Xenopus tropicalis: one gene and its partner. The protein of the gene in region 1 interacts with the protein of each later gene in a biochemical or structural test. Links are inferred from orthologs where the notes say so. Each region holds a gene or a part of one and is shown in the gene's direction. Other genes may lie near its edges. The genes, in order: grm7 and pick1.

The links.
Region 2: the proteins of grm7 (region 1) and pick1 form a complex in vitro, tested with the Homo sapiens proteins (2 studies listed by BioGRID, with this or other methods). The link is inferred for Xenopus tropicalis from reciprocal best matches to the Homo sapiens genes GRM7 and PICK1.

Annotation. Positions count from the first base shown.
Region 1 is NC_030680.2:130,721,827-130,725,652, forward strand, and holds part of grm7 (metabotropic glutamate receptor 7 precursor), read left to right. Parts: intron 1-27; coding exon 28-960; intron 961-3,826. UniProt on the Homo sapiens protein: G-protein coupled receptor activated by glutamate that regulates axon outgrowth through the MAPK-cAMP-PKA signaling pathway during neuronal development.
Region 2 is NC_030680.2:128,860,225-128,864,800, forward strand, and holds the start of pick1 (PRKCA-binding protein), read left to right. Parts: upstream 1-1,534; 5' UTR 1,535-1,619; exon of another isoform or gene 1,620-1,727; intron 1,728-3,601; 5' UTR 3,602-3,704; intron 3,705-4,027; 5' UTR 4,028-4,110; coding exon of another isoform or gene 4,111-4,129; coding exon 4,130-4,151; intron 4,152-4,576. Other genes in the region: brk1 (protein BRICK1), read right to left, coding at 964-1,081. UniProt on the Homo sapiens protein: Probable adapter protein that bind to and organize the subcellular localization of a variety of membrane proteins containing some PDZ recognition sequence.

The DNA of each region.
Region 1 (3,826 bases):
CTTTATGTATACATTTTTCTGTCATAGATCGAAGACATGCAGTGGGCTAAAGGACCAAGAGAGATCCCACCCTCAGTCTGCAGCTTGCCATGTATGATGGGTGAGAGGAAGAAGATGGTTAAAGGCATGCCTTGTTGTTGGAACTGTGAGTTGTGTGATGGTTATAAGTACTTGCGGGATGAATTCACCTGTAACCTCTGTGACTACAATATGCGACCCAACAAAAACCGTACTGGTTGTGACTCCATCCCCATTATCAAGCTGGAGTGGCACTCCCCCTGGGCTGTAATTCCTGTGTTCTTAGCTATGCTTGGAATCATTGCTACCATCTTTGTTATGGCAACTTTTATACGGTACAACGACACCCCCATTGTTAGAGCTTCAGGCAGAGAGCTAAGCTATGTCCTGCTAACAGGAATCTTCCTTTGCTATATAATCACCTTCCTCATGATTGCCAAGCCTGATGTGGCTGTGTGTTCCTTCAGACGCATCTTCTTGGGGTTGGGCATGTGCATCAGCTATGCAGCTCTTTTAACCAAAACCAACAGGATCTACAGGATTTTCGAACAGGGTAAAAAGTCAGTGACAGCCCCACGGCTTATCAGCCCCACTTCGCAGCTGGCCATCACTTCCAGTTTAATATCTGTCCAGCTGTTAGGAGTCCTTATTTGGTTTGGAGTTACCCCTCCCAGTATCATCATTGACTATGGGCAGCACACAGTGACCCCGGAGCAGGCAAGAGGGGTCCTGAAATGTGACATTACAGATCTACAAATCATATGCTCCTTGGGATACAGCATCCTCCTTATGGTGACATGCACTGTGTATGCCATCAAAACAAGGGGCGTACCAGAGAACTTCAATGAAGCCAAGCCGATAGGCTTTACTATGTATACTACCTGTATAGTTTGGCTGGCTTTCATCCCAATATTTTTTGGAACTTCACAGTCAGCAGAAAAGGTAAGTAAACGTGTCTGTATATGCTTCATATTCTCATCTACAGTCATGGTCTGGGCTGGTTACTCTAAACAGCCTTTTGGTACGTAGGTCATTTTGAAGGGGATTTCCATGTAACATTTGTACATACTGAAAGAAATTGAAAGATCCCTGAACCAGTGCAATACAGTCTGAGGACGTTTTTGGTAAAGATCACTTTTAAGAAATTGCCAAAGATGTCTATATTGAGGCCTATTCATAGGTGCACAACATTAACGGGGTGTTTATCAACATTTGGATTCTCATGGTTTTAGAGTTTTGAAAACACTAAACTCGTTTCCACAATAGCCACAAATGTCTATTCATCTATTAAAAAATCTGAATGGAAAAAAATTGGAAAAAACTTTTTCGTATTGTTGCACAAATGTCAAAAACCTCTAAAACCACGAAGCAAAGATCTTCCATTTGTAAAAAGGACACCTGCCATTGACTTCTACATGATCTCGACAGCTTTTAGATGGCGTATTTTATCTTTCAGATTTGTTGCAAGTTTTGTTGCATAATAAATGGAGATAAAAACTGCTTTTTCTGCAACAAAACCGTACTTTGCGCAAAAATAAAAAATACGAATTGTGAAAAAATAAATCGAACTTAGTAAATGCTTCCCTTACACTGGGGTGTAAATTTTAAACCAGTATTAAAGCATAGCTTACAGCTAGTGGGGTGTGCAGGAATTCTGGGAAAAGGCACATTGCCTTTTAAGAGACCAATATCATGACAATTTTGCCATTCTTATACATTGCCACGTGCAAACTGGCTGCAAATAAGACCTCATATAGAAACCCCTGCCAGTCTAGTAAAGCTGCCTAGAAACTGGCAATGCTAACTAGTATTCAGGCTTACTAGGCTTGCACCAGGTCCTACCTAAACACTTCCATAGTCTTTGCTGGGACCTTTGAAGTGTAGCGTTTTGGTATGTGTTTTTATGTCACTCTGGCGTAGGCCTACGGCACACAGTGGTATTCTCCAATGCCAGCTTTCAGTTGGAGGAAAACATTCATTTGATCAAATGTTAGGTCCCAAATGCCATATTCCTTATTAATTATGCACACACAAATTGGGGTGATATTTGGCATTAGCCCTCTCACAAATTTATAAATAGGGATTTTATTTTACACCAAATGATATGCTCGTTTTGGCATAAAATAAAATCCATTCTTTTATAAACATGGCCCCCAATGTCTTCTTCAAAACGTGTGAGTTGCATTAATACATAATAATCCTGATGGCAAAGCCCAGATCTTCAGTACAGGGTTTTACAGAGCGTTGGGAGAATGCTCCTATTATGTGCAAAGTATTTTCAGAAATGCAACATCAAGCCGTTTACCACTGCGAAGTTCTATTATGGCCACATGGAGTGCCAGTAATTCAGTCCTCGGTCCATTTGCACCTGAATCAGAATGTGAGAAATCTGCATGATCTGTTTCTTATCTCCTATTCATTTTACTGACACTGATGTTAATGGCGGTGGCAGGAGAAGGAGTTAGCACATTGTGATGCTGAGAGCACAAACCGCTTGAGTCTATAAAAGGCAGCACATGAATTGTTCATATCTCCAACTACATTAGGTACCTGGAGTGGCAAGAAAATAGAGTTGCGCTCAATGGAGATATCTGATTGGTTGACAGAATGACTTCTCTTTCTAATACATTTATAACTAATATATTGAAATGTAGATATAACGGGACACTGCAGACCTCCCATGTCCGAATGTGATTTATGTGGCTAACGGCTTTTCAAAATATGGAGTGTATTGTGCAAACAGCTATTTGTCTACCAGAATTCCCTGGCAGGCAGCTTCATGCTATCACCCACCTACTCCTCCATTAATTAATCAGCCTTCTTTGTAGCTATAAATTATGCACCAAAGCTGTCTTTGAACATGCCACCGAAAGGCTTGATAGATAAAGAAAACATCCACTTGCATGTATCGCACTATAGAACAGTTCTTAGCAGATAGTCAGTAGACTATTAATTAGACAAAATGGCACCAGATCAATAAGAATCAGTTGAGCTATTAGTCTCATTGTTGCATCTGTTTCAATTGTATCCTGTCAGCATGATGAATGGGGCCACGCTGTCAGAGAAATGGAACAGACTTTTTGCAGCTAAATCATTTTGATGAGGAGAAATAATCTTGGCATCTGCTTTAGACAAAATGAACATTGGCGAAATTAGTGGACGAGAGACGCAGGCTGAAAACTGGGCACGAGGGGAAATTGTATGTAATTGGCTTTGCACAGCTCCGGCGTGGTCTAGAACATTGATCTCTAAGAGACAGGAAGATGTTGGCGGATTATGGGTAGAGGCTATTTTTGGAATCAGTAATGCTATTTTAATCCAACCCACAGACATTGTTATGGTTGGAGATTTGAAGTTAAACCTTAGAAAAAGCTGCACAACATAGTGCCAATGTGGAACAACAGTTTATCATCATCAAACCCATAACCTTGATTTATAGTCATTGTTGTCTTTAATAAAAGTGAGGACCATGCCTTGAAATGCATTTTAGTTGTTTGTTGTTCCTCCTAAAGTTATACTAAATGGAAATGTGGCCAGCAGCCTTGTGCCATATTAACCCAAAAGTTGGAGCATGGGTGCCCAGAACTTTGTACATAATAGCTGGAGATTTAGAATCAGCAGTGGAAATAGGAATCAGAGGATTTATTGCTGGAGGGCCTAGGACTGTATGCTCATTGGGGGTCCTAACTGATGCCAAGTGATTTGAAGACTTAAACATAGTGGGCTTTAATATGGTGGCCACCTTTTCTGGAAAGAAAGAACCCGTCTTCCTCTCTATTAGTTTCTTCCAACACCATTGACATCACGT
Region 2 (4,576 bases), about 1.9 Mb from region 1:
GTACTGCTTAGAAAAGGTGGCCAATAGGGATGCACCAAATCCATTATTTTGGGGATTTGGCAGAACCCCAAATCCTTCGTGAACAATTTGGCTGAATACCGAACTGACAATTGGACAATTGAGGGTTAAAAAAAAAAAAATCACCTGATTTTAAGAATTAGGTTTGGCGAGAGGCATAGATTTGTGTGAGAATCTTGGCAGAATCCTGGATTCAGTGCATCCCAGTGACCCAATTACTAGTGGATGTGAGGAAAGAAGCATTAGAGGCAGGTCCATTAGCCACCATCACCATGATCACTGCATCATTCCTACAGCCTGTGCGGGCCCTCCATCCCCTGCTCACTGTAATGTACCTGCTTTCACTCACACAGTGTAACATGCTGCTTTCATTCTCCCCCTCTCCCTGCTCATAGACATATGGGGCTTATTTATTACAGAGTGAAAGCCAACATCACTAGGGATGTTGCCCATAGCAACTAATCAGCAATTAGATTTGAACAGTTAGAGAACAAAAGCAAAGATCTGACGGTTACTATGGGCAATATCCCCAATAAGGTTACTAATTACACCCCCAGTGTAAATGCTGCTTTCACTCTTACACTTCACTCTATATATAGTGTAATTACCCACTGCAATGTACATGCTGGGATCTATATAGTACAGTGTATAAATTGCTTTTGTTTGACACAAGTAATGGAGTAGCAAGCCATGGTTATATAGTGTAGGCACCATGGCCATTGGTAAGATAATAACAAGGCGACACTGTCACACTGGAGGCTGTACAGCTACTGGGATGCACAAGGCCCAGAGGATTCTGGGAGCTGCAGTTAACAGGGCAGGATGGAGAGGCTGGCATCCTATACACAGGCGCTGCCCATCGCCCAGGCATACAGTGCCCAGCCCTGCCGGCCCTACGCCCTAGGAAGGATCCCCTGCAGGACACAGCGCCGCCCCCACTCTCACCAAATGAGTTCAAGAAGTCGGCGATTTTCTTGATGCTGCTGGTGATCACCTCGATGTACTCCCGGTTGGCCCAATCCTGGTGAATCTCTCTCTGCACAGGATCCTCCTGACTGGCCATTTTAGCCTCTCTCCCTATCTATAGCACAGCCAAGGGAAAAATACAGCGTCACCTACTGCGCATGTCAGAACGGAAGCGCCCCCAGCCTTCACCAGTGGCCGCCATCTTTAAAGTGGACTCAAATGAATAATGCAAGCATCAAGAACATAAGTGAGACGTGAACAACCGGAAGTTACGGCTTATAAAGGTTCAAATAACAAATGTCACTATATTTGAGTGTTGTTCAAACCTGTGCTTTCCACCCCGAGTGGTTTTTACAAGCCGATACAAATATGTCTGCCGCTGCGTCGGTAGGCTCTTCTGCGCCTGCGTATCGGCCGAAGCGGAACTGACGTGCGGAATGATGACGGGCGTATGAAACAGGTAAGGGCTGGTGCAGGTGCAGGGGGTTATAAGCACAGGTATTATGGCGATTGGGTAGCTGCTGGATTGTGTAAATCCCCCGGGAACATGGGATTAGGCGTTTCGGCTGTCCGATAGTCGTGCGGGAATCCATTGACTCTGAAGCTCTCTGCAACACTCATGACGTAGCCTGGAGGTAGCGGTGATGTAATATGGCAGCTTTCTCTAGAGACCTTTATTCCCTGAAATCAAACACTGCATGCTGGGAGAGCGGATACTATCTTACAGGAATAGATAATAAAGGGTAACTAAAATTGCCTGTAATTAGGATGGCAGAGCAAATATGTTCATTGTTGGAGAGATACTACTTGAATGCACTGTATGATTAAGCACAACCATAAGCTGTTATTAGTTATAGGCTTCTTTCCTGTACTGTTTGCCTCATTATGGACTATGGATACTGAAGTTTATAGCTACCTGCTAGCTGCTAGCTGCCCCTTTACTAGTATGGGGGAAAACTGGCCAAAGGGCATTAACTCATAGCAGCCGGTTATTCGGTTTTATTTTAATAACTACATTAAACCAGTCAAAGCTAATGTTTTGTGTTTGAATGAAAAGAAATATTGGTGCAACAACATGGTACAGGTATGGGGCCCGTTATCCAGAATGCTCGGAACCTTGGGTTTTCTGGATAAGGGGTCTTTCTGTAATTTGGATCTCCACAACTTAAGTCTACTAAAAGATTATTTAACCATTAAATAAACCCAATAGGGCTGTTCTGCCCCCAATAAGGGGTAATTATATCTTAGTTGGGATCAAATACAGGTACTGTTTTATTATTACAGAGAAAAGGGAATCATTTAACCATGAAATAAACCCAATAGGGCTGTTCTGCCCCCAATAAGGGGTAATTATATCTTAGTTGGGATCAAGTACAGGTACTGTTTTATTATTACAGAGAAAAAGGAAATACATTTTTAAAAATTAGAATTATTTGCTTATAATGGAGTCTATGTGAGCTGGCCTTTCCATAATTCGAATGTGTTGGTAATGTGTTTCTGGATAACCGATTCCATACCTGTACTGATATTGTTTTACATTAATGTTTAATTAAATTATCCTTATACAGGTATTGGACCCCTTATCCGGAAACCCATTATCCAGAAAGTTACGAATTACGGAAAGGCCATCTTCCATAGACTCCCATAGACTCAATTTTAATCAAATAATGCACATTTTAAAAACTGATTTCCTTTTTCTCTGTAATAATAAAACAGTACCTGTACTTGATCCCAACTAAGATATAATTAATCCTTATTGGGGGCAGAACAGCCCTATTGGGTTTATTTAATGGTTAAATGATTCCCTTTTCTCTGTAATAATAAAACAGTACCTGTACTTGATCCCAACTAAGATATAATTACCCCTTATTGGGGGCAGAACAGCCCTATTGGGTTTATTTAATGGTTAAATGATTCCCTTTTCTCTGTAATAATAAAACAGTACCTGTACTTGATCCCAACTAAGATATAATTACCCCTTATTGGGGGCAGAACAGCCCTATTGGGTTTATTTAATGGTTAAATGATTCCCTTTTCTCTGTAATAATAAAACAGTACCTGTACTTGATCCCAACTAAGATATAATTACCCCTTATTGGGGCAGAACAGCCCTATTGGGTTTATTTAATGGTTAAATGATTCCCTTTTCTCTGTAATAATAAAACAGTACCTGTACTTGATCCCAACTAAGATATAATTACCCCTTATTGGAGCCAAAACAATCCTATTGGGTTTAATTACTAATTACTGTTTAAATAATGTTTTAGCAGACTTAGGTAGGAGATCCGAATTACGGAAAGACCCCAGGTCCCAAGCATTCTGGATAATGGGTCCTATACCTGTACCTGATTGTGTGTTGTGTGATTTAACCATTTATGCAAATAGCAGAGCAGCAGCAGTAGTGATTTTTTTTTTTTTTTTCATTTTTATAGTCAGCCACGTTCACCTACATGAATAGCCGATAGCAAATATGTGCCCAGATGGTTGGACTGGGCCCATATGTGACATCACAGTTATTTATTGTAAATATCCTTTAAATTGCCTTATGAATGCTGTTGGTGATTGTGCCTTCTTGGACATTTAGCTTACTATTCTCTTTTCTTCTCTTTTTATGCAGACCAGATTACCTTGTGCTGGAACTACCAGAATGAAAGTTACACACATGATTCTGACTTGGAGTTAGCCACCCAGCAGCGTGCACAAAACACAAAAACTGCTGTGTGAGTTGGTTGCAATTCAGTCATTAATTTAGAGTTCAATTAAATTATACTGTCATATGGAATATTACCTTAACTCATTTTATACCAGTTCAAACATTTGACTTTCTTCAAATAAATAAATAAAAAAATATATGTATAGTTGGTTATAATAATAATTATTACCTATAATTAAGGGAGGAGCCATAATGATTACTGTCTGTTTCTCCTGTAATGTTATAGTGTCGGACTAGGACTATATCCTGAAGTAGTAATTTTAGGGGCATAAGCAATAAAGCAAATGTTATTGAACTGCTAACATATTTCTCTGTTTTTTTTCACCTCAGTTCAGTGTTTGACAGGAGAGGAGGGAATACGAAAAGGGGAATCCAAAGATTCAGCAGAGAGTTTGTAAGCAGCAATATCTAAGATGTTTTCTGATCTGGATTATGACTTTGAAGAGGACAAACTGTGAGTGGACTTGTTAATATACCCTTACCGTATGTGTGTGACCAGGTATCCTATCATAAGAGAGACACTTGTATGTTGTGTTCAGCCTCTCATAAGGAAGTAATACATGTTGTGTGCAGCCCAAGGAGTCACTTGTATGTTTGGTGCAGACTACAAAACGGCTCCCTTTTTTAGGTTTTACAGGACATACATAAGACTCCCATATGATATATAGACTGCAAAGGTTATACACAGGTCTCCCTTATGATAAGTTAAACACAATTATACAAGTGAAACCTTTATGGTAAAAAGCACAAAATATATAATAAAGGAACAATGTGTATGTTATGTGCAACCCATCTTAAAGGAGAACTAAACCTTGCCTAGGTACAAACTGCCCTCCATCAACCCCCCTCACATCTCCCTTCTTGCACATCCTATTACAC